3 linked regions of the Drosophila melanogaster genome follow. The protein of the gene in region 3 interacts with the protein of the main gene of each other region in a pairwise test. Each region holds a gene or a part of one and is shown on either strand. Other genes may lie near its edges. The genes, in order: BI-1, CG7886 and sosie.

What was found.
Region 1: the proteins of sosie (region 3) and BI-1 interact in a two-hybrid assay, tested with the Drosophila melanogaster proteins (one large-scale study listed by BioGRID).
Region 2: the proteins of sosie (region 3) and CG7886 interact in a two-hybrid assay, tested with the Drosophila melanogaster proteins (one large-scale study listed by BioGRID).

Annotation. Positions count from the first base shown.
Region 1 is NT_037436.4:8,305,833-8,312,870, forward strand, and holds BI-1 (Bax Inhibitor-1), read right to left. Parts: upstream 3,110-7,038; 5' UTR 2,932-3,109; coding exon 2,864-2,931; intron 2,714-2,863; coding exon 2,260-2,713; intron 2,133-2,259; coding exon 1,962-2,132; intron 1,901-1,961; coding exon of another isoform or gene 1,880-1,900; exon of another isoform or gene 1,761-1,879; intron 1,549-1,760; coding exon 1,504-1,548; 3' UTR 1,313-1,503; downstream 1-1,312. Other genes in the region: Gr66a (gustatory receptor 66a), read right to left, coding at 1-846, 908-1,148; Cpsf6 (cleavage and polyadenylation specific factor 6), read right to left, coding at 5,199-5,394, 5,815-5,883, 5,942-6,241, 6,452-6,918. UniProt on the Drosophila melanogaster protein: Suppressor of apoptosis. Modulates unfolded protein response signaling. Negatively regulates autophagy and autophagosome formation, especially during periods of nutrient deprivation, and reduces cell survival during starvation.
Region 2 is NT_033777.3:14,638,463-14,645,500, forward strand, and holds the start of CG7886 (uncharacterized protein), read right to left. Parts: upstream 4,102-7,038; 5' UTR 3,774-4,101; intron 3,697-3,773; 5' UTR 3,558-3,696; intron 3,501-3,557; 5' UTR 3,418-3,500; intron 3,315-3,417; exon of another isoform or gene 3,151-3,314; coding exon of another isoform or gene 2,952-3,150; intron 2,886-2,951; coding exon of another isoform or gene 2,741-2,885; intron 2,682-2,740; coding exon of another isoform or gene 2,287-2,681; intron 2,227-2,286; coding exon of another isoform or gene 1,160-2,226; intron 1,075-1,159; coding exon of another isoform or gene 662-1,074; intron 606-661; coding exon of another isoform or gene 424-605; intron 370-423; coding exon of another isoform or gene 1-369. Other genes in the region: Cad88C (cadherin 88C), read left to right, coding at 1-369, 424-605, 662-1,074, 1,160-2,226, 2,287-2,681, 2,741-2,885, 2,952-3,150; l(3)L1231 (lethal (3) L1231), read right to left, coding at 6,473-6,726, 6,834-6,935. UniProt on the Drosophila melanogaster protein: May play a role in cilium biogenesis.
Region 3 is NT_033777.3:24,833,612-24,840,649, forward strand, and holds sosie (sosie), read left to right. Parts: upstream 1-3,069; 5' UTR 3,070-3,461; coding exon 3,462-3,606; intron 3,607-4,439; coding exon 4,440-4,586; intron 4,587-5,701; coding exon 5,702-5,878; intron 5,879-6,000; coding exon 6,001-6,092; 3' UTR 6,093-6,877; downstream 6,878-7,038. Other genes in the region: CG33658 (uncharacterized protein), read right to left, coding at 6,898-7,038.

The sequences.
Region 1 (7,038 bases), on a different chromosome or scaffold from region 3:
AATAAAGTTGAGCAGTGAAAATCAGAAAACCATAGGCCATTAGAGATAGAATGGGATAGCTCCACAGCTCGTTCAAAGCTTTTCCGATTTCACAGATCTCGTCGTGCACCTGGCACAGGTTGTTTAGTTTCTCCTCTACCTTAGCGGCATTTCCCAGCTCGCTTTCATGGACCATGTTAGTGGCCAGGGGAGGCGGTGGAGGCTTCCTGCTGGCCGCATCAATTGCTTCACCAAAGGAGTTCATGGAGTGGGCCACTGGTGCTACTTTGTTTTTCCCCGAACCAGACACTGAACTCTTGCCAATGGAACCTATGTCCATACCTCCTAGTTCCTTGTACAGATACTCCAGGTTGCTGTCATACTGAGGCGGCTGGGAGCTGTCCAGAGGAGGCGGAACCTCTTGATTGCCTCGCAGCCACAGCTTATGCTTCTCGTGCGTGTCCACCAGTTCCTCTAGGGTGGCGTTTATGGCCTCGAAGCGTTCTTTCAACGCATATAACGAAACAGCGAACCAGATCTTGTCTAGCGTGTTGATGAACGTGGGAATGGCGGACACTATCCATAACAAGGACATCCATTGACTATAGTCCACCAGCTTGACATAGGTGCTCACCAAAATGGACAACTCAAAGATGACCGTCATGATCAGCATAATTCGTATGCGCCGTCCAATTGTACTGTTGTCCATAACACACCCCTCTTTGTAAAGGCGCTCATCCACCAGACGGATGCGCTCGTAAAGCTCTCCAATTCTACCCTGGTTTCGTAACGCGGTCAACTGGTCGGAGACCATCATAATCAGACCGATATAGGTCAGGAACAAGCCAATCACGAAAGTCAAGGTGCCTGGGAAGAATGAATAACATGGTTATGAGTTTGCACCTTTCAAGGCGGATGGTTAACTGACTCTGCGAGGCCTTTAGGCTGCGGTCCTCCTCTCCAAAGGAATATATCAAAATATTATAGAGCACAACGTAGAGTATTAAAGTACTCAGCATGTAAATCATGCCATTACGGGATTTCTCCAGCAGATTCCTAGATCGAAACTTCTCGAGATCCTGTGGCAGAATTCCAGCTATCTTGGATATGAAGAACAGTTGCTGGAACTGCTGCAATAGTGGTTGCACTGCGTCCTCCGCCTGCGCCATGTTGTCCATTGAACACTACAGCTTTGAATAACCGATTCCCACTAACATCAAGTTATTACCTGCAGAGTGCACTTAGCCTAATTAATTGACCCCTCCGCCCCTAATCGATACTATCAACATGGTCTATCTACTGCGCCATGTTTGGGACAAGAAACGCGGATGAGCTTACTTCTTGTGGTGTTTATTAAATGGAAAAATTTCATGGGTTTTATATTGGATATATATGTCTGTAAATTTAAAGCCAAATGTACACGGCATTATTAATATTCAATGCGAATAATTTTCTAGAATGAGAAATCTGCCTCCAAAATCCGTGTCAGATGTTTTTCTTGTGGTGGCTGTTACACATAAAAGTTTATTTAGTTTTGTTCTGGCGGCGTTCATTCTGTTTTCGCTCCTCCTGCAAATAATTAAGAGCATTACTGGTATTGCCTTTAAACGGTGCAAAAGCAAAGGACATAAATATAATTTCACAAACAGCTAGAGAACTTTGCAAAAAGTTTCATTGGCAGTTTTTGGAAATAAATATACTTCCCACAAGTGGTTTATATAGACCTAAGGATCCTAGCCTGACTGTGAAAGTACACTTATTGCCTTGGCTGCAGGAAATACCGTTTAAAATGGTTTTTCACATCGAATTTTATACTGGAAGCTTTTGCAAAGTGATCAGCATGTTTTCGAGGATAATCTGATTGAGCTATTTTGGGCAACTGGCTCCGGCTTGAGCTATCTTAAACCATGAAGGTCTTGAGCTGGGTAAGGGGGCTATATAACAACTGATCGTTGGGATAAACCCTTGTCGCGGAAACATACCTTTTGCGTCAGTATAATCAGCAAACGGCGGAACATGCTGAGTACATCGAAGAACAAATCTAAAGCGTGCTGCACCACATCTCGATTTCCGTTTCGGCACTTCTCCACAATGTTCTGTGTATCGTAGACGATGAAGGCAGCCATAACGAAAACGCCGACGTAAAGTTGAGTCTATAAGGAAAATAAGAATTTGTTAAGTATTACAATTATGAAATATTCAGTTTTCAATGCCTTGGAATGGAAATTAGAAATTAGATTTAGAGGATACAAATTAATACGCAAATTAATGGGCACTCACCACTTGCACGAAGTAGGACTTGAAGACCATGTTAAAGAGACTCAGCAGCGCCATGGTGTTGATGACGCTAACCAGCATCCCACCCAGATAGAGGTACTTGCCCTGCTCGGCCAGAAGGGCGGACAAGGAGAGCGAGATGAAGGTGACGAAGGTGCCCGTAAGGGCAGACAGGATTATTGCCGGATTTATGCTGCATATATAGCCGAGGAGCGGTCCGAGCGTCTGGCCGGAGCAGAATCCGAAGGCGTAGAGCATGCCCAAACGTGTATAATAGTTCTTGCCGTCATCCTTGTAGAAGTGCAGACCCAAGACCAGGACTAGAGTGGCCACCGCCGCCAGGACTCCAAGATCGAGAAAGTCACGCATCTGAAGCATGGCTCCCATGGCCGTGGCAGCGGCAGTGCTGCCCAGGACCATGTAAACCTTAGACAGGTGCTCGCGCACATAGGGCTCACTGAAGGAAATAAAAGGAGGACTATTAGTTTCAAGGTCCATCGATCCGATGGACAACTGTTGATGTGGTTGGATACCAAAACAACACGTCAGTGCAACGCACTTGGACCCCAACCTCTAAGGGGGTGACCCATCGGCATGTAATACTTACTAACGGTCACCGAGCCCGTTCATGAAGGTCTGGAAACGGTCGTTGATGTAATTCGCAGTATCTGCCATTGTAGTCTTTTTCGCACTTGCTCTTGCTAGTTTCCAGTAATATTACACATAAGTTTGTCAAACGGAGGAGTGAATTAGAACTGTTTGCACTGATGTTTTAAAACTGACTGTTTACTTTGTAAGGCCTACTCGGCTCTATTTTCTTGCCTTTTCTTTCTGTATTTCACGAAATCTGTTTTATCAGCTTTTAGTGTTGGATAAGTTGCTATAGGTTAGTGCTGACGACGTGGTCTTTTTACAGCTACATTTAGATTTGAACTTTATGCTCGTATTCATTATTAAACTCACCGTATACACATAAATACTTGTACAACATACTATAAATTAAGTTTAACATATAATCCTGTTAATTGAATAAATAAATAATACTCCAGTTCAATTTTGTATAAATCTTTTGGATTTTATACCAGCCTTTTTTTTTTCAAAACTAGAACACCGTCAGCACTGTTGATAAGGTGGTGTTTTCGACAATTGCCCACCTGAGTCAGTGTTGGGTAAACGGACATTTTTCGAACTTCCAGATGATTCTATGACGTGTTTTTCGGTTGCGCGCGCTGCCTACTTTCCATTTGAAAAGCAACGAAGTTCGAAACGACTAGTAAATGTTTTTTTTATTTCGCGCTAGATCCAAAAACAAGGTAATTGGCGTATTTTCTAAAAACATTGTACATGGTAAATAATAAACTATGGCAAATTGGGCGACTAGGTGCTGTTACTTGTCCATAAAACAAGAAAACTCTAAAAATTCTATAGTGTATATATAGGGTCCCAGAAGAATGGGACAACATTACCTGCTTTGGCATGACTTAACAGACAGTAATGGTTTGTATAAATTCATATGTAGTTTGTTTCATCGAGATCACAATCACAGTATAAATTGTACAAGACATCGTTAAGCTCATAATACTCTTAACACCTCTAGGCTCTCGCTCTGCGGAGAGTTACAGGTACTTTTCAAATCGTAGACTTGATTTAACAAGGTGTAATTGCAATTCGGGATTAGTGGGACATGATCTTAGTCGAGTATCGTTTACAAAATGTATATACAAATTAAAAGTAAAGCTAGAATTTAAAAAAGTAAAATGTAGATGATACAATTGGAGGCCTAAGTTGTGTAAAATGAGCCGCGAGTAGTACAGTATCTCGGGGGGAACTGAATGACTTTGTTCTTTTCTTGGAACCTATGTTAGGAACTACATCAGCTTGTAACGTTAGTATAGTTAACTACGATAAATGCGATTGGGACGTTTCTCTTTTAGAGTAATTTAGTCTAAAAATCATGGTATTTGGGCTAAAAGCACACACTCGACTTATTCTATACAAACATATGGTTTTCTCCATCCGTTTATGCGGATGGATTCAGTCGGCATTTGAATGCTACAAAAATTCACTCACACTCAGTCTCAAGCACACAATTATGATCGACTTAAGTTTAATTGTTAAATAAAAACAAGATTAAACAAATGCGTGGAGAATGTTTACAACAAAAGATCGCGAAATATTTGAAAATACATTAGGGATAACGATTTTCGGCCTCAGTCGGCAAAATGATTTTGTTAATATAACAATTTCCATATTAATTGCACGCACAAGTGCAATAATTTTGTAATTTTTACATACAATTTTGTTGTACAATTATAAAGTCATTAACTAATAAGATGTTTTTTTTTTTATATAATAAGAGTACAAGAAGACACACAATACAAGACAGTTTTGGTAAAGGTTTTTTCTGGAACAATTCTTTTTTTCATACGTTTATGTTTTATTAAATAAACCGAAATTTTAGAGTACAATAATATTGAAATTCTGCTGCGAAGACGGCGGTGCAGGAATGCTAGTTGTTTGTTGTTTGATGATCCAGTGCGCATCAGTGTCTATAATGTCCCACGCTGACTGTCCCCTTGGCTTCTCCATCGATCCTCCTGCTACTGCTGCTGACTTCGGTCTGCCGGTCTTGATGTTGCCAGGATTCTGTGATGTGAAGTTGGATGGATCCAGAGGCAGTCCCCGTCCGTCGTTGGTAAAATCTTGTCAGCATTTCGGCTTATTATAGTATGTCTAGAAGAACTATGCTGTTTGCCATATTCATATCCTACGTATTGGTAATGTTAGATACAAATCGAAAATCTGTTAATTGTGGCTAGCTTGTCATCCCACCAAGCTGCGGCTTATTGTTTGTTAATAGAGTGTGTTTAGTATATCTGTGTTGCATCTTTACACTTGATTACGGGTCCACTGGCGATGGTTCCAACTTCCACTTACGGCAGTCAATGCCGGGAACGGTGCTCCTCACGCCTGTCGCGATCACGCTCCCGCTCGCGGTCGCGGTCTCGATCGCGGTCGCGTCGCTCACGGTCCGAGGAGCGGTACCTTTCCCGATCCTCGTAGTAGCGCTTCGATGATGGCGCCTCCGCTGCTTCGGCGACTACGGGTTCCGGCGACTTTCGTGGACGCACCGATCGGCTGTTTTCGGATTATGGGATTGAAATTAACGCAAGGTTTTCATTTCGAGCTTAAAAATAATTCGCTTAATTGTCACCGTATATTGTTGCACAAAAGAGCAAAAATATTCTGATGAGCCTAAACAGTTACAATTCAAGCTAACATCTTTACAGAAAGCTTTTAATGAAAATAAAAAATTTGAAAAGCCTATACCTTAAAAATACTACCTTTTAATAAATTATACATTTTTCCAAATATTTTAAAATAAAGTTTCGTCTGACTTTACAAATCTACACTTGTTTTTACAGCAAAAGTAAAAAATCTGTTTACGAGTGAATAAATTATGAGTTCTATGCTATTTAAATGAAGCACTATGATTAATTAATCAGCAACTTTTAAATGAGACAGTGAAGCGAATTTTTAGAAGTAGAACGTCTTTACCTGTCATCCCTGTAGTGATCTGGAGCCTGGCGTTCACGTTCTCTACTGCGAGACCTCTCTCTGTAGCTTCTAGAAAATGAATACGGAATTAAGTGTGAGGCTTACACATGGTAGAACCAAAACTTACCCGCCATCCCGTTCACGCTCACGATCCCGATCGCGTTCCCGCTCCCGAGATCGCTCGCGGTACCTGGACGTGGAACGCTCACGTCGCTGTCGGCTGCGATGAGATCGCTCCCTCGACCGCGACCTTTCGCGCCTATTGTAGCTCTTGGCCTCGATGCCATGCAACGTGTCCTGCAGCGAGCTAATCAGAATTTTGCATCGCTCATCGTGCGCTACCTTGGACTGTTTGATCAGTGAAATGGCTGTGACCAGTGTCTCGATGGCGCTCGAGTATTCACCAGCGGCTGCATCAGAAACAGCTCTGAAAATAAATTAGCATAAAAAGGGAATTGATATTTGATCAACAAAGTAATTAATTATCTAGATAATTTATTAATTAGACCGGATCTGAGTCATAGTTTCAATAATTGGAATTTTCTATGAATTCGACTTAGGAATGGGTTAGTTTTTAAATAATAACTACAAGTTTTGACCTCGTTAAAGAAAACATTTTAAAAACCTTTGCACTCACCTGGCGATCGCCGAACTGCTGACTGTGCGATTTCTGCTCATCACCTCCTCGAACTCCACCTCCGTCAGTTGCGGACCCATCTGCTGCGGATCGGGGAAGGGACCTGGTGGCTTACCCTGCGGTGGCGGCCACGGACCACGTGGTCCATGCTGGGCGAACTGGGGTGGCGGTCCATGCTGTGGCGTCATGTTCATGCCCTGTTGCGGTGGCATATTCATGCCTGGCTGTGGACCTGGTGCTCCGTGGGGCGGGCCACCCATGCCCGGATGCTGGGCAGGACCACCAGGCTGGTTAAAGAATGCTGGGTTCACGTGGGGTGCGGGTGCGCCGTGTGGTCCGCCCGGACCTGGTGCTGGGGGAAGGCCACGTGGCGGACCTTGCGGCGGGAAACCACCGTGCATGGGTGGACGACGCCAGTCGGGACCTGCCGGACCCCTGACGGGCATGCCCATTGGGCCTCCTTGGAACTGCAAGGCAGAAGAGACAAGATTATTTACTGTTCCCAATGATCGGATCGAATCGGTTTCTAAGCTATAGTATGAGTTTGTGTTGCATGGGTTGATCTGTGGAATTACTGAAAATGTTCT
Region 2 (7,038 bases), about 10 Mb from region 3:
TGGAATTCCAGCAAGATCCTCACTGGTGGATGTGTATATAACAGTGCTGGATGAGAATGATAACAATCCCTACTTTGTGGGTGGCAGCAAGAACTATACGATTAGTGAAAATGCAGCTCCAGGCACCAGAGTTGCCACTCTCCAGGCTGGAGATGCGGATTCGGGAGATTTTGGCAAGATCACCTTCCTGATGGATCGCATCAGTTCGCAGGGAAAGTTTACCATAGATGCAGACACTGGGGTGCTAACGGTGGCCGATCGTTTGGACAGGGAGTCTAAGGATTCCTACAACCTGGTTATCGAGGCCTGGGATAACTATCAATTCGGATTCCTGGCCGGAGAAAGTCGCAATGCCTTCAAACAGGTTTTGTAAGTTATAAAAATTTAAGCATTTGACAAATTTATTTCATTTAGCTCTTTCAGCATTTCCATACTCGATGAGAACGATAATCCACCAGAGGTTGACTTGCCCATGAGTTGTGTTTTAATCACTGAGTATCACGAGTTGCATGAACGAGTGGCAAGCATAGTGGGCAAGGATGCAGATGACCCCACTACGCCAAATGGTAGACTCGATTTTGCCATCACTCGGGGTAACAAAGATGGTAAGGATTTGAAGGAGAATAAGTCTTTCAATCACTAAATATATTTGCACTTAAAGGTATGTTTGAGCTGCGCCAGATAGACGCTTGGAATGCCCAAATCTTCGCTAGCAAAAGTTTGCGCAATAGATACGGAAACTATAGCCTTACTATAACTACGCGAGATATGGGCCTTCCAGCCAATATTGTGCACAACACCTTGGATATTTGCGTATCGGATTTCAATGATCACGCTCCGGTTTTTGTGAGGCCACTTCATAACACCACTGTTCGCATTCCGGAGAATGCGACTGTGGGAACGCTGATACTACAGGCATATGCCAGTGATGGGGATATGGGGCAGAATGCTTTGGTGAGATACAGACTCAAACCCGATCCATTGGGCAGCTACAAAATGTTTGAAGTAGACGGCAGCACAGGGGAGCTCTTTCTGAAGGAACAACTTAACCGCGAAAAGCAGAAGATTCACGAGGTAAATGCCAAATCTCCTTATACCTACAAATTTTAAAGTATAAACACACAAAAGAATATACTATATGATATAATTTTCATTACAGATACGTATAGAAGCCTATGATCAGGGATTGCCAACCTCACTGAGTTCAGACTTGGATCTAACGATTTATGTTCGGAATGTTAACGATTATGAGCCTCAGTTTATGGTTAACGAAATATCCGTAAACTTCACGGAGCACTCGGATCCAGGATCCGAAAGAATAAAGCTACCGGACACCATAGATAAGGATCAGTTGGAACTGGACGATCCGAATGATACGCCCAGCCAGGTGTGCTACTTTATAGTGAATGGAAACGAAGCGGGATACTTTCGTCTCGATCCCGAAACCCATATATTGACTGTTGACCGTGAACTGGATCGCGAGGTGATTGCCAATTTTACGCTCTATGTTCGTGCCACTGAGAATTGTAGAAATGATTCTATATCTGGTGGCGAAAAACGTCGTCGTATGGGAATCGAGATTAACAATAGATTGGGAGGCATTGTGCATAACCAACAGTTTGGATATGATCGTTTCAAACACTCTCGACAATTGAGATCGACAGAGAGTAATGAATACGGACCAGAAGATGCAGAGCTGTTATCGTATGAAGCCTATGACAGTAGTCAGGAGGATCCAACCGGAGGATTGGCAACAACCCATCCAGAACTAGATAGCACTGTAATAAAAGTAAAGGTGCGCGTGCTGGACATCAACGATAATCCACCGAGATTCCGTTCTAAAATCTTTACTGGTGGTATAACGACCAATGCTGATTTCGGTTTAAAATTCATGCGAGTGGAGGCTACGGATGCAGATGAAGGAGATAATGGAAGGATTGGATACTACCAAGTGGGTGAAATCCGACAGACTCTTTCCGAGGGATTGGAGAACGTACGCAAAGCTCCCTTCCTTCTCGATCAGGAAACCGGAGAAGTGCAGCTAAACTTTGACCCACAAAAGGGAATGAAGGGCTATTTCGATTTCGTCGTTTTGGCCAACGACACCTCAGGAATGAAGGATGTGGCCCATGTGTTTATCTACTTGTTAAGAGAGGACCAAAAGGTGCGATTCGTGTTTAGACTTCAGCCGGACGAACTGCGATCTCGAGTGGACTCCTTCAGAGAGTAAATATTGAGTTGATTTTAAAGTATAACCCCCCTTCTAATGTTATTTCCATACCTTAGCACCCTGAGCAACATAACAGAATCGATTGTAAACATTGATGAGATTAAGGTTCATGAGAACAAGGATGGTTCGGTGGACAAGACAAAGACGGATCTGTACATGCATCTAGTCGAGCGGGAGGATAACTCAATCTACGAGGTATCCGAGGTGCTCAAACTGATTGACTCGCACATCGAAAGCCTGAATGGGCTATTTAAAGAGCTCAACGTGCTGGACACGCAGGCGGCAGAGGCTCAGCTCCTGACCGCGGGACCCAGCCGAGGTCCTTTATTCGTGTGGCTGATTTTCACCAACCTCTTTCTGGCCACTCTACTGGTAGTCACTATAGCACTTTGCGCCTCTCAACGGAATGGATACCGCAGGCAGCTGAGAGCCGCTAAAGTCAATATATTCCGTAAGTAACGATTAGGATAAAAGATAAATTAATATATTTAATACACAAATTCCATTTAGGTGGTCACTCCTCGATGTCCCTGCAAGACGCTCAGGAGCCGGCCACTCGAGTGCCAAATACCAACAAGCACAGTGTCCAAGGATCAAATCCTATTTGGCTAAAGGGTTACGACAACGAGTGGTTCAAATCAGAAGAAAGTGGCAGGTGCGATAATAGAGGAAATCACTAAATCGTCCCTTACTTAAATATATAACACTTATTTCTCCATAGTATTGGTGGCCATGACTCTTTGGATGATAACTTTCTGGCCGTGGCCACACAGGATATGCACGAAACGCTCAAGGGAACTGCCAAACTATTCAACAACAGCAATGATCTTAATCGGCACTTTAATCTATACAACCAAATCGACAAAATGACCAACAATGCTCAGATCCTGGCCCGAAAACTGGAGACCACGGAGTTATAGCACCAAACAGTCCCCCCCCCCTCTTATTTATGGCACTTGGATTAAGGATAGCTTAAGTTCAGCTTGTAGGGACCATGTAAATATATCGAAGCTTAAAACACAGTTTTAGTCCTGCTATGTCCTACGACATACGCATTCGTACAAATTAAGGAAATTGTATTAGCAAATAAAGTAATAATTGTCGGTGATAACTACATATTATTTAAATCAATTTATGCGGGAAAGAGTCATAGCGCAAATATACAGAATATGCTGAATTGAACTCACCTTTGATTCAGTTCCTCAGTTAGAAAGTAGTCGAGAGCTTTGTGGTTCCGCAATGATGATATAAAAATATACGTAGAGCACAACTGGTGGTGAGGAGTCGGTTAGTGGGGTCGATGGTGGAGCATGTGGCGCCCACTTACCACGCTATTCCACGTATCCCCGTGGCGCCACTCTGAAAACTGGCGGCAGCTTACAAACGTACAAAAAAAGTGACTAATCGGGGAGACGGCAGCTCAGATAGGCATTTGTATGCATTACAACCGACAGCAAACGACACGCCTGCTAGGATATGATGTAATAATCGCTGCATACGGACAACCCAGAGTAGGAAATGCCGCCACATGGCACTCACTCACCTTAGCAAAACGGGGATAATCCGGACCAGATCTGGTCAGTTTTTGTCTCTTTTGCACTGGACTGAATGCTCCTTGCGATTAGATGCGATTGGGTTGGTGGTCGAGCAAGGAAAACAAAATAGAAAATAATAATTTTCAATATAACCTTTGAATTTGAATCCTCGACCACAACTCGACGAAACGCACTGAAAGAATCCTGGGAAGGATTAGCGGGTTTCTTAATTCGGCGGTTCTGCTGATGTTTTTTGTATTTTGTTTTCGGGAGTTACTCGGAGTATGTGTCAAGGCAAACTAACTGTTTCCTAGGAGAAAATTATGTTGTTAAACGAATGTGAGTCTATGAAAATCTGGTCACCGCCTGCCGAGATTCCCATTCCCGATACCCAGCCATCAGTTCCCCATACCGATTTCCCATTGATCAATGACAAGCCAGGATGCTTTGGTTTTTTTTTTTTACTAAAAATACTGTATTATATTTTCAGGGTAAAATATTCTGTTGCCATAAAATCAATCAATTCTTTTTTTCATTTGCTTTGATTTGTTTTATTTTTTTTTTTTTTTGCTTCGTTTTCTTAAAGTATTTTGTATTTCTTTTTTTTTTCGTTTATAATAGTTACACAAATTAGATCACAAAAATGCACGTAAATTACAAAATGAAATTGTACCTCATACCGAAAACAGACAAAACTTCAAATGGTGAAAAAGAGGCGGCTACTGGAGGGATGCGGGGTTGTAGGTTCATCGCTACAGTTCTTACAAATTAAAGTGTTATAAAAATAGGGTTTAAAGCATATAATCAAATACATGGTTTTGTAGTTTCGCTACAAAAAGGACATTAATTTTGTTCGCGTCACTTGCACAGCGAAGTAGATCAGAGTAAAGTGCGGGCCAACTCAATCGGTAATCAAGTGAACCCGGTAATCGGTAATCAACTAACTCAAGAACGAATTCATACGTTTATATAATATATCTATATAGGGTTTTAGAGATAGAGAGTGAGAGTGTGGGGGAATTATTATATATCATATTTTACAGAGTTCCATTATCTTTAAAGTAGTTCCTTCTGCTCTATCGTTTCGCTATGCCCAAACGAAAGTTCCTATGAAAGATGCAAGTGTTTGAGTGTGCCATGGGTGGTGCATTAACGTAATGAAAATTCGATGCGTGATACATATACAAATACATAGTTATCTAGTGTAATTAAACGTTTTTCATTCATTTAATACTTGCTTAGACTCCGCGTGACAGATGAGAAATGAGAAAACTTACAATGGATGGAGATGGAATGGTTTGGGTGTGAATTTTTTTGTTTTGTTTTCTTGAGGGCTGTGATTTGGGGATCGGTCTCCAGTGAGCGGTATATATCGTATTTTAAAGCGTAACAGTTTTCTTGCTTGTTTTGTGTATTGTTGTATAAATATATCTCGATTTATAAGTTGCTGCTTGTCACTAGACTAAAGAAAATTACAATTCATTTATGTTCTATATAATATTTGTTAATTTACATAATCTAGAATAGACAAACGCATGCTAAAACTCAAAAATTGTCGGTCAGCCTAATTTTGCTTTTAAAATTTGTTAGGCTTAATTAAAATCGAACAAAGTTTGTGGCCATCGAGCAATGGCTAAATAAAAGAGCTTAAAAATAAATCAAGTATACACTTTTACAATCTGTTAATTTTTTTTTGTTATAGGGTTTTCTTTTCTTTGTTTGTGGGTTGGTTTAAATTAAAGCTTACACTTAAAAGTATGTGTACAGATATATTAAGTGGTATTATGTATATATAGCTATATTTTATATATATAAGTATATATAGTTGTATATATATTTAGTAATACGATTCGCGGTTTCAAACTAGTCCCTTGTACGTTGTATGTATGTGTGTTGGTGTTTAGGTGTGGGTGTGTATGTGTATGTGTATTAGGTGCAAACCAAGAACTAAAATCAAACTAAACAATTTCAGCTTCACCTGTTTTGTTTTCGTAGTTCTTGCAATTCTCATTTGAGTGTATGGTGTTGTGGTTGTTGTTGTAAATGCGTTCACAAAATTTTTAAACAAATTTTAGGCTTGTTTATGTTAACGAACTTTCCAATGTATCGCGTTCGTAACTTTAATTCAGAATTCAAAATTTGTTGCTAGATTTCCTACAATTTCGGTTTCATTTTATCTGTTTGCTCTGGTATTGTTTTATAATTTCTCGTTTATATGTATAATAAAGCTGATCTCTACAATCCTTTTGTTGGTTCACTAACAAATTAAGTTACGTTAAGATGTACGTAAAGCTACACCTCTCCGCGAATTTACAATATTATGTTTTTGCGTACGGATACATATACATTTCATTCTTAATGTTGATTTAAAGTTGAATTTAATATTTTTGGACATTTTTTCAAATTTTTTACTTTTTGTGTGTGTTTTTTTTTTTGTTTTTCACATTAACGCATAACTATATGGTTTTTGAATGCTATTTTATTCATGCATATCTGCTGGTGAATGCATGCATAACATTGAAGCTGCATATAGAAACATTGTGCCAAACTAGAATCGCAGGTAAGAAATGGCCAAAAAGAAAATACCGAAATTCTAAGCGAAAACTGCCTAAAAGTGAATGGGAAATCAAGCTTGAAAATCTCTCTCTCTGTCTCTCTAAATGAATCTGTAAATTCTGTAGGCCATAAATCCGACCTGATGCCGGAATTAGGTCTGCACCAAGCCCCGGATGTCGGAGGCGCCGTTGCTGCTGCTATTGCCACCGCCGCTGCTGCTGTCCCCAAAGAGGGGAGGAGCATCGATGCCGGACGTGTTTGGTGAGTGCATCACAGCATCGGCCAGCAGATCGTCGCCGACGTCCAGGAAATCGTTAAGAAAGGCGCTGTCCGCCGAGCCGCCCATTGTCTGCTGTAAGGCCCGGTCCAAAGCCCGGTCCATAGCCTCGCACTCGGCTTGTTGCACTGCATAGGCACAGGTCCAAGGCGATGGCGGTGGCGTTGGCAGCGAAGGCACACATGGATTAGTACAATGAAAAGCTGAACAAGTAAAATTGTGGTTAAATACACACCGGATTGGAACAGCTCGTTGAAGGCATCGTCTGACAGCGTGTCGAACACATTTACCAGATCGTGCTCCTCCAGCAAGTGGGCGCCATTCAATGCTATATCATCTGGAAGAGAGAAATAACGTGTCAAAATACTGAAAAAATCTTAGGGAATTTGTCCAGCTTCCTTCTATATATACATAGCTATTATATGGAAGTCATAAAAGTT
Region 3 (7,038 bases):
AATGTGGCAATGTGTCGAGTGATAAATTGGGAAAGTCATGGAAAGGTTATTTGGTCAAGACTTGGCCAACAGACAAGGCTAAAACAAGTAACAGCGGCTATCGAAGAGCTCGCCTTGCGGCGCATGCAACATTCGGGGGCAGGAGCTGGCAGTCCTTTAAGGACTAAGCCATGTGGTGTGTGCATGTCCTGGAACGCACGAAAACAAACTTGCATGCAGTGAGTGAGGTAAGTGAGTGTGTGTGTGTAGCCGCAATTAGACGTGGCCATAATGTGGAATTAAGTCCCTTAAATTGGCATTTTTTCGAGGGCCTAATGCTCCGCACTCTGAGTTATAATCAGCAGTAATATGATGACCTCTGGGCATGAGTGTACAGCTCGATGAGATTTCGTGAGAAAATTATATATCGCTGGTAGAAATTCTACAGTCGCACTAATTAATCATCAGTTAAGAGCAAAAACATGACGCCCAAATTGTTGAAAGCGAATTAGTTCTTTAATTACGGTGGTCTTTCGCATTTTCCTTGGAGAGGGGAGGGGGAAAACCCACTGGCGGCGCCTACGATTCGCTGCAGTTTCTGATTTGGCGAAAAGATTTCGTGAGTTTTCCATATAATTTTCCTGCTTGTTTTCCGTTTCTCTGCTGTGCCCGGCAACATTTATCAATAATGTCAAGAAATAAATATCCGAAATAAATTTCAGACTCTGCCGCATGGCGAATTGAATGGACTGGACTGGCTGAATAATAATTAAAGGAACTTATTTTTACATGTAAATATAAATATTTTCCATTCCGAATGACGCGGTGCGGCGGGATTTGCGTAAATGGAGAAAGTACTATGGAATAAATCATTGTCAAGTCGGCAAATCTAGAAAAACAATTACGAAATCCAATATAATTAGTGCCTTTTAACTTATTTAAATAATTTTAAGTACATCCAATTCTTTAAAATGACCCACGTGTCTTATAAATCTCTTCAATATCGCTCAAAATAATTTTTTTACCTTTTACAATTTTTGAAGAAAATCATAAAAATTTTCTAATATAAGTTAAGCAAACAGAGATATTAGGATATCTGAAATATATTTTCCAAAATTGGCTTAATGCTTTCCACGGTCCTTGAACCCGACCAGATTCGTGTCCCATTTAGTTATATCCACCGATTTTCGTGAATATATTTTCTGGACTTCCTTTCCGTTCGCTGTGCGTGTGCGATATAAATTCGCATTTAGTTGGAGAAAATTGTTTATGCTGTCGCAGCGATTAAAGCAATCGTTTATAAGGCGATCGAGAAGGCAGATAAGGAGCACCAGGACCCATATAGCCTGACATTTTCCACAATCGGAGTCGGAAGAGGGTCGAAAGTACATGAAGTGCAAAGGAATTTGTGTTTGGCAAATTGGGCGAGTTCTTCATGTCCCAACTGACCTCAAAGTGTTCCTCTTCGAATGGGTGGGTGTAAATTATTGGCTCAGTTTGAAAAGTGGAGCTTCGTATATTTAGACGATTGAAGCAGACATGGCCAAAAGTTGGGCATCCGTTTCTGCCTGTTCGATATCCGCCTAAATGGTGCCTTGCCAAATTGGGCTAAAGGGGCGTGGCCAGTCACCTTTCTTTTTTGGACAGCTTAGCTGCATTCTGCAGCTGAAAGTTAAAAAAGTTAAAAGTTGAAAGCAACAAGCAAGCCACTCTCATCTGGGCAATTTAGCAAATGTAATTAGGGCCATGCAGCGCCCAAAAGTAAAAAAAGGGGGAAAAAATAATCATAAACAACGGCAGGAGAAATTAGGGAGCGAGCAAAGAATAATGGCCAAAATAACTATTTGCCTTTGACTAACCAGTTTCTGTTGTTGTTTCGCCTGGTGCGTGCTAATGTTACACTTTATTGTTGTTGTGGCTGTTGCTCAACTCCGTGGGCCCCAAAAAGTAGGCTATGCAATGGTCGTATGCCTCTAATGCCTTCGTCATTATTATAGTTCCCACACACACACCCACTGCCACACACACACACCCAAGACGAGGACGAGGAGAAAAGGACGAGGTCGCCACCGCCAGCGGCTACAATAAAAACAGGTGCACGAAGGTGAGGCAGCTACAAAAATCCATCTTCGTTAACAAAACTCGCTCACGAAATACACAAAAGCAGCGAAACAGTTACAAGTGCGTCGCAGCTCACTTTCCATACACCATATAGCATATACCATATAGCATACGGCCCAAAACTAATCCCATACTGCCTGCGAAAGTTTCGAAATCTGCCCGGAGATTCCATGCTATCTAGCTTCTTGTCAGCGAAACATTGGTTAGGTGGAATACCCTTTGCCCACTTGGGGGATCTCTTAATTATGCATGCGGGTGTCTGTCCTTCTGGAATCCGATTTTATGGAATGTCCCGGAATGCGTGAATTCATTTCTACTCAGCCGCAATTGGTTGGACGTATGTATACTTGGTTGCCTACATCTAAAATTAATGTTTTATCATTTTGTGGGAAGCTCATTGCTGCCAATTTTTGTGTGCGTCAGCAGAATCGTTTCCCATAACGCATAAAAACCTGTATTGTTTAACTTGATATTCAGTTGTATATATTTTACCATATATATTATGAGTTATTTTTTTAAGAATGAAATATGAAGCTGTTGTTTTTAACAAACCAGAACTTCACTTCCAATTGTAGAGTATAGACTTCTGTTAAAATTACACATGTAACATAAGTACATAACTATATGGTATCTCAACTTCCAATTTACTAAAATAAATACAAGTATATTATGTATTGTTATTATACAAAGTATTAAAGAAGATTTGCTGAGTGGGAACTTAAGTATGATATAAGGGTATCTGGAAGACGACTATCATTCGCCGCCAATGTGGCAAAGGGGTTCTATGCCTGGCTGAGCAGGTGAGCGGACTGCGGGGGCGGTGGGTGGCTAGCTGGCGAGGAGCACTCAGATGGGTAGCAGATGGTGGCAGGTGGGAGGTGGAAGGTGGCGCCGGTGTGCGCGAGCGCCAAGTAGCCACCAGCAGCGACATCGCAGCAACTTAAGGTCCGTGTGCGCCGCGAATTCTTCACTTGCATTTCGAGCGCGCAGGCGACTGGTTGGAGCTACCCGTCCGAAGACCCCAAGTGGAAGTTGCGACTATAGCGAGTGCCCCAAAGTATTGGAGATTTTTTGGAGTGACGCCTCTCGTGCGGTTTTGTTTTGCTTCGGACTTTCTGGCGGAGCGGAAACGATTTCGGTGTGAAAATTTGCATAAAATTGTGCCCGCGAAACCGACATAGAAACGAAAAAAGCGTTAAGTAAACCAATTTAAAGCCTTTGGGCCGTTTTTCAAGCTCGCAAAGTGCGTGTGCAACCCGTTGCGGTCCTGTGGAATTTATATAAGACCCGAAAAAGGACTTCTTTCCGACTTCTTCAAGTCCTGGTCTCGACTCAAAACTCGATTAGTTACCGATTCCAAAATGCAGCCCCTGAAGCGCTTCACACAATGCGGCAGTCTGACCATGCTCTTCGGCATCTTCATCATCCTCTTCGGGGTCAGCTCCACGGCTCTGACCACTTTTGGCAAGACCAACAATCAGCCGCCTCCCACGCACGTCCCAATTGGTAAGAGAACCCCCGGGGTTGGTAACGAAAAGGCCCATCAAAGTCGCTGGCAAGGTCAAGAGGAGTTTCTTGTCAAGATTGGGCGAGGGATTAAAAGTGGTTCGAGTTTAAAAGTAATCGTGCAGTAATTTTGCTATAACTCGTACTCCAGCATTAGCCGATAAGTGAATATGACTACTATTACTATAACAATATTCATATAAGATTATTCTTTAAGAAAAATACCAAACAAAGAGATACATTAACTTCTGTTTTAAAAAACTGATTTTGAGTTAGAAGTTAACTATTTTAATGCACTTAACTTGACTCTCATTATAATGTGATATATACGTTGTCTTAGACCTTCCCGATAAAGCCCCACATCACTTAAGTTCGATTAACCGCTAATTAAGACACCTGGTCGTTAGCCAAACAAATAGCCAACCATCCAGTTTGTCTGATCCAATCATTTGTCATTCGATTGACTTGGTAGTCGCTCATAAATAAATGGAATAATAATTATGGCACAGAGCCAGCACAGATTGAACGACACGACACAGAACACAGAACATTGCTAACACAAATCGAATCGAGAATTGATCAAACAAGTCACTCAAGTGCAATGACAACCCACGCTCCACGAATCCCTGACATTAGGAGCGGGGGCGGTAATATCCCTGTGATTGGAGTTGGTAAACCGAAACGGATAGAGTAGATATAGATAGGCGGACAAGCGGTGATTTGTGTTGGCTCAAGTTGGTACCCAAATAATCACACAATTAGTGGGCAATTAGCTAGGCAAACTGGCTAGTTAAGTGTCCTTTTTTAACTTGGATTCCTATCATTAATTGCAGTTAAAGGACGAGAGTGCAGTGCCCACGATGATTGCACGGCGATAGATCGCACCAGCTGCGTCAAGGATCCCAATGACTACAAGCTGCGTTGCCTATGCGGCGACGACTCGCCTCCTTCGGCTGGCAGCTGTCCAGATGTCCTGAAAGGTAATGTATCACCTATATAGAAAAGTACTTACCCATATTCCCCAAGGATATAAATATACAAGTTGTAATCTAGAGAAACCACTGACACTTAAACAGCATTCCTAAAAATAAATTTTTCGCGGCTGATATGCTTTAGTTACTAGTCAGTTAGTTACTATTTATTTATGTTAAAAAAATTAAAAAATCATTGATGTTAAATATTAATCATAATGTTCTGTATCTCCGCTCCTTTGACCGCCCGCCTTTGCAGAATCCTTTAGCTCGTTTCCCGAAATAGAACAGCCAACAAAAAGTCAGCTAATTGCTAAGACATGCACATTACATTTATTATTTAAGAGGCCGCTGCTTTCTTGGAGGCCTCCTCCGTGATGAGCCAGTGCCTCAAGTGGCATGTGAGGTGATGCGTCCAAGGCGCCACCTAAATGAGAATTAAACAAAGAAGCATCCTTCCAGAATGGCCACCCCCAAAGCCCACTTTCACCTTTCTTCGCTATTTGCCTGCTTATTTATTTAGTTTTCCGTGCGCGATTCACACTTGCCTTCTCGGCATCCTTGGGTCATGTGCCCGCCATTGTTGGCCCTACAGTCCCTTGGTTCTTTGGTCCTTTGGTCTTGGGTCCTCTAGTTTCCCAGTTCTCCAGCCCTCCTCCAGCTCCACTCCAGTTCTTGGCGGGGCCAGAGGTGGACCGCTTTATGGCGGCGCAATGTCGATGTCGGATTTATGTTAGGATGTCGTGACTCCTCCGATGGGGCAACTCAAACGAGGCCCCAAACGAGAGGCAAATGGTAATGGGAATCGCCGCAGTGCCAATTTGTGACATGCACAGCCCAGAAGAAATGTTATACGCGATTTTTGCATGCACGTTTCCCCAGTTTTTGGCATTGGGAGTTGTTCTCCGTGTTGGAGATCTACTTTCTGGCGGGGATACATTGTAATACACCAGAGTATAGAATTTCCAGACTATTATAGGTCTGCATAATAGCGTTATTATAATAAAATGGCTGCTAAATGATACCGGTGTATTGAGTCGGTTTAAATTTAGTTATAAGCATGGAGTATAGCTAATTCCACTGGCGGTATGCTAATATCTTAATAATATTTGCGCATTTTGCAGGCCTGCGTCACAAGTGCAACAGCAACAACGACTGCGAGGATGGAATGGTGTGCCAGTACGAGAACAGCAACCGCACCATCGGAGTGGCCAAGTTCATGTCCAGCAAGACCAAGCTGTGTCTCTGCGACAACGACAACGGATATGTGGAGGACATCCTGCACGACATCTGCAGTGGAGGTGAGAGGTTTCTCATCCAATACATTCCATAACTATTATAACTATTGTCATAGTATTACAAATATAGTACACACAAAAATAGGATGTATCATGGTTCCTAATCCATCTTCTTTGCCTTTCAGCTAATCTTCAGGGCCTGGTCAGCTTCTTGGTCTCGATCTGCTCACTTCTGGCGCCCTTTTTGGTATCCGCCCACATGCGAAAGCATTTCTAGAAGGCGATCGTCGAAAGCGGAACCGGAAGACGTAGTTTGGCGTTTATCTACCCCAGTGATCCATCAAATGTGCCTCAGTGAAACCAACAGAAACAAAAGATCATCCTACCCCTACCACTAACCCCTCACATATAAAAAAATACGAAAAGTAAATCTTGAAAAGCGAAAAAAATAAGAGAAAATACGTGGAAATGAAATTAAGAAAGTTAGATACTCGTCGCCATTAGCCTAAAAGTCGTTCTATTGTATAAGTTTCATATGTACCACCGTCAAGTTTATTCGCTTCTCACGAAAAGTTGCGTTATATACAATATACATAATTATATTATCTGATAAACGTTTTCCATAGATCCCCAATCGAACTTAGTCCGTACTCCCTACACTAGACAGACCGAAGTAACTTTAGATCAAATGTTAGGCACCATTTTATTGTAATTTTATATGAGTGTACGTGTGTGTCCAGGAATAATCACTAAAAATCGAGAGAAATTATCTAGTGATAGGCAACTTTTCAGCAGCACTGTGAATTCAGATCGCTTACATCGCAATTACAAATGTGAAACATTTTTAATTTTTGTATGTATTCAATATAAATAGCTTTACGAGCTCACAGCCCATAATCGAATGGAATAATAATAATAATAATAATAATAAAATATGGGAGACGATAAAAGTTAATAATATTTTCATGTCCAAGTTGCAGGTCCAGATAAGAATTTCACCCATTAAAACCGTTTTCTTCGTAGCTGTTATCTATACTATTTAATAAAAACCTTTAAAAACCCAAACGAATAGTACTTTTCCATCAATAATGACAGAAATATATCTTGGTTACCACACGGTACTTTTCATTGGCAATCCAATAGGTCTGAAACATGTAGTTTCCTGTGGGAAAGGGCAGAGTTTTTGGTAGTCGGGAATTAATAGTCTCAGAGGTAAGTTTCTC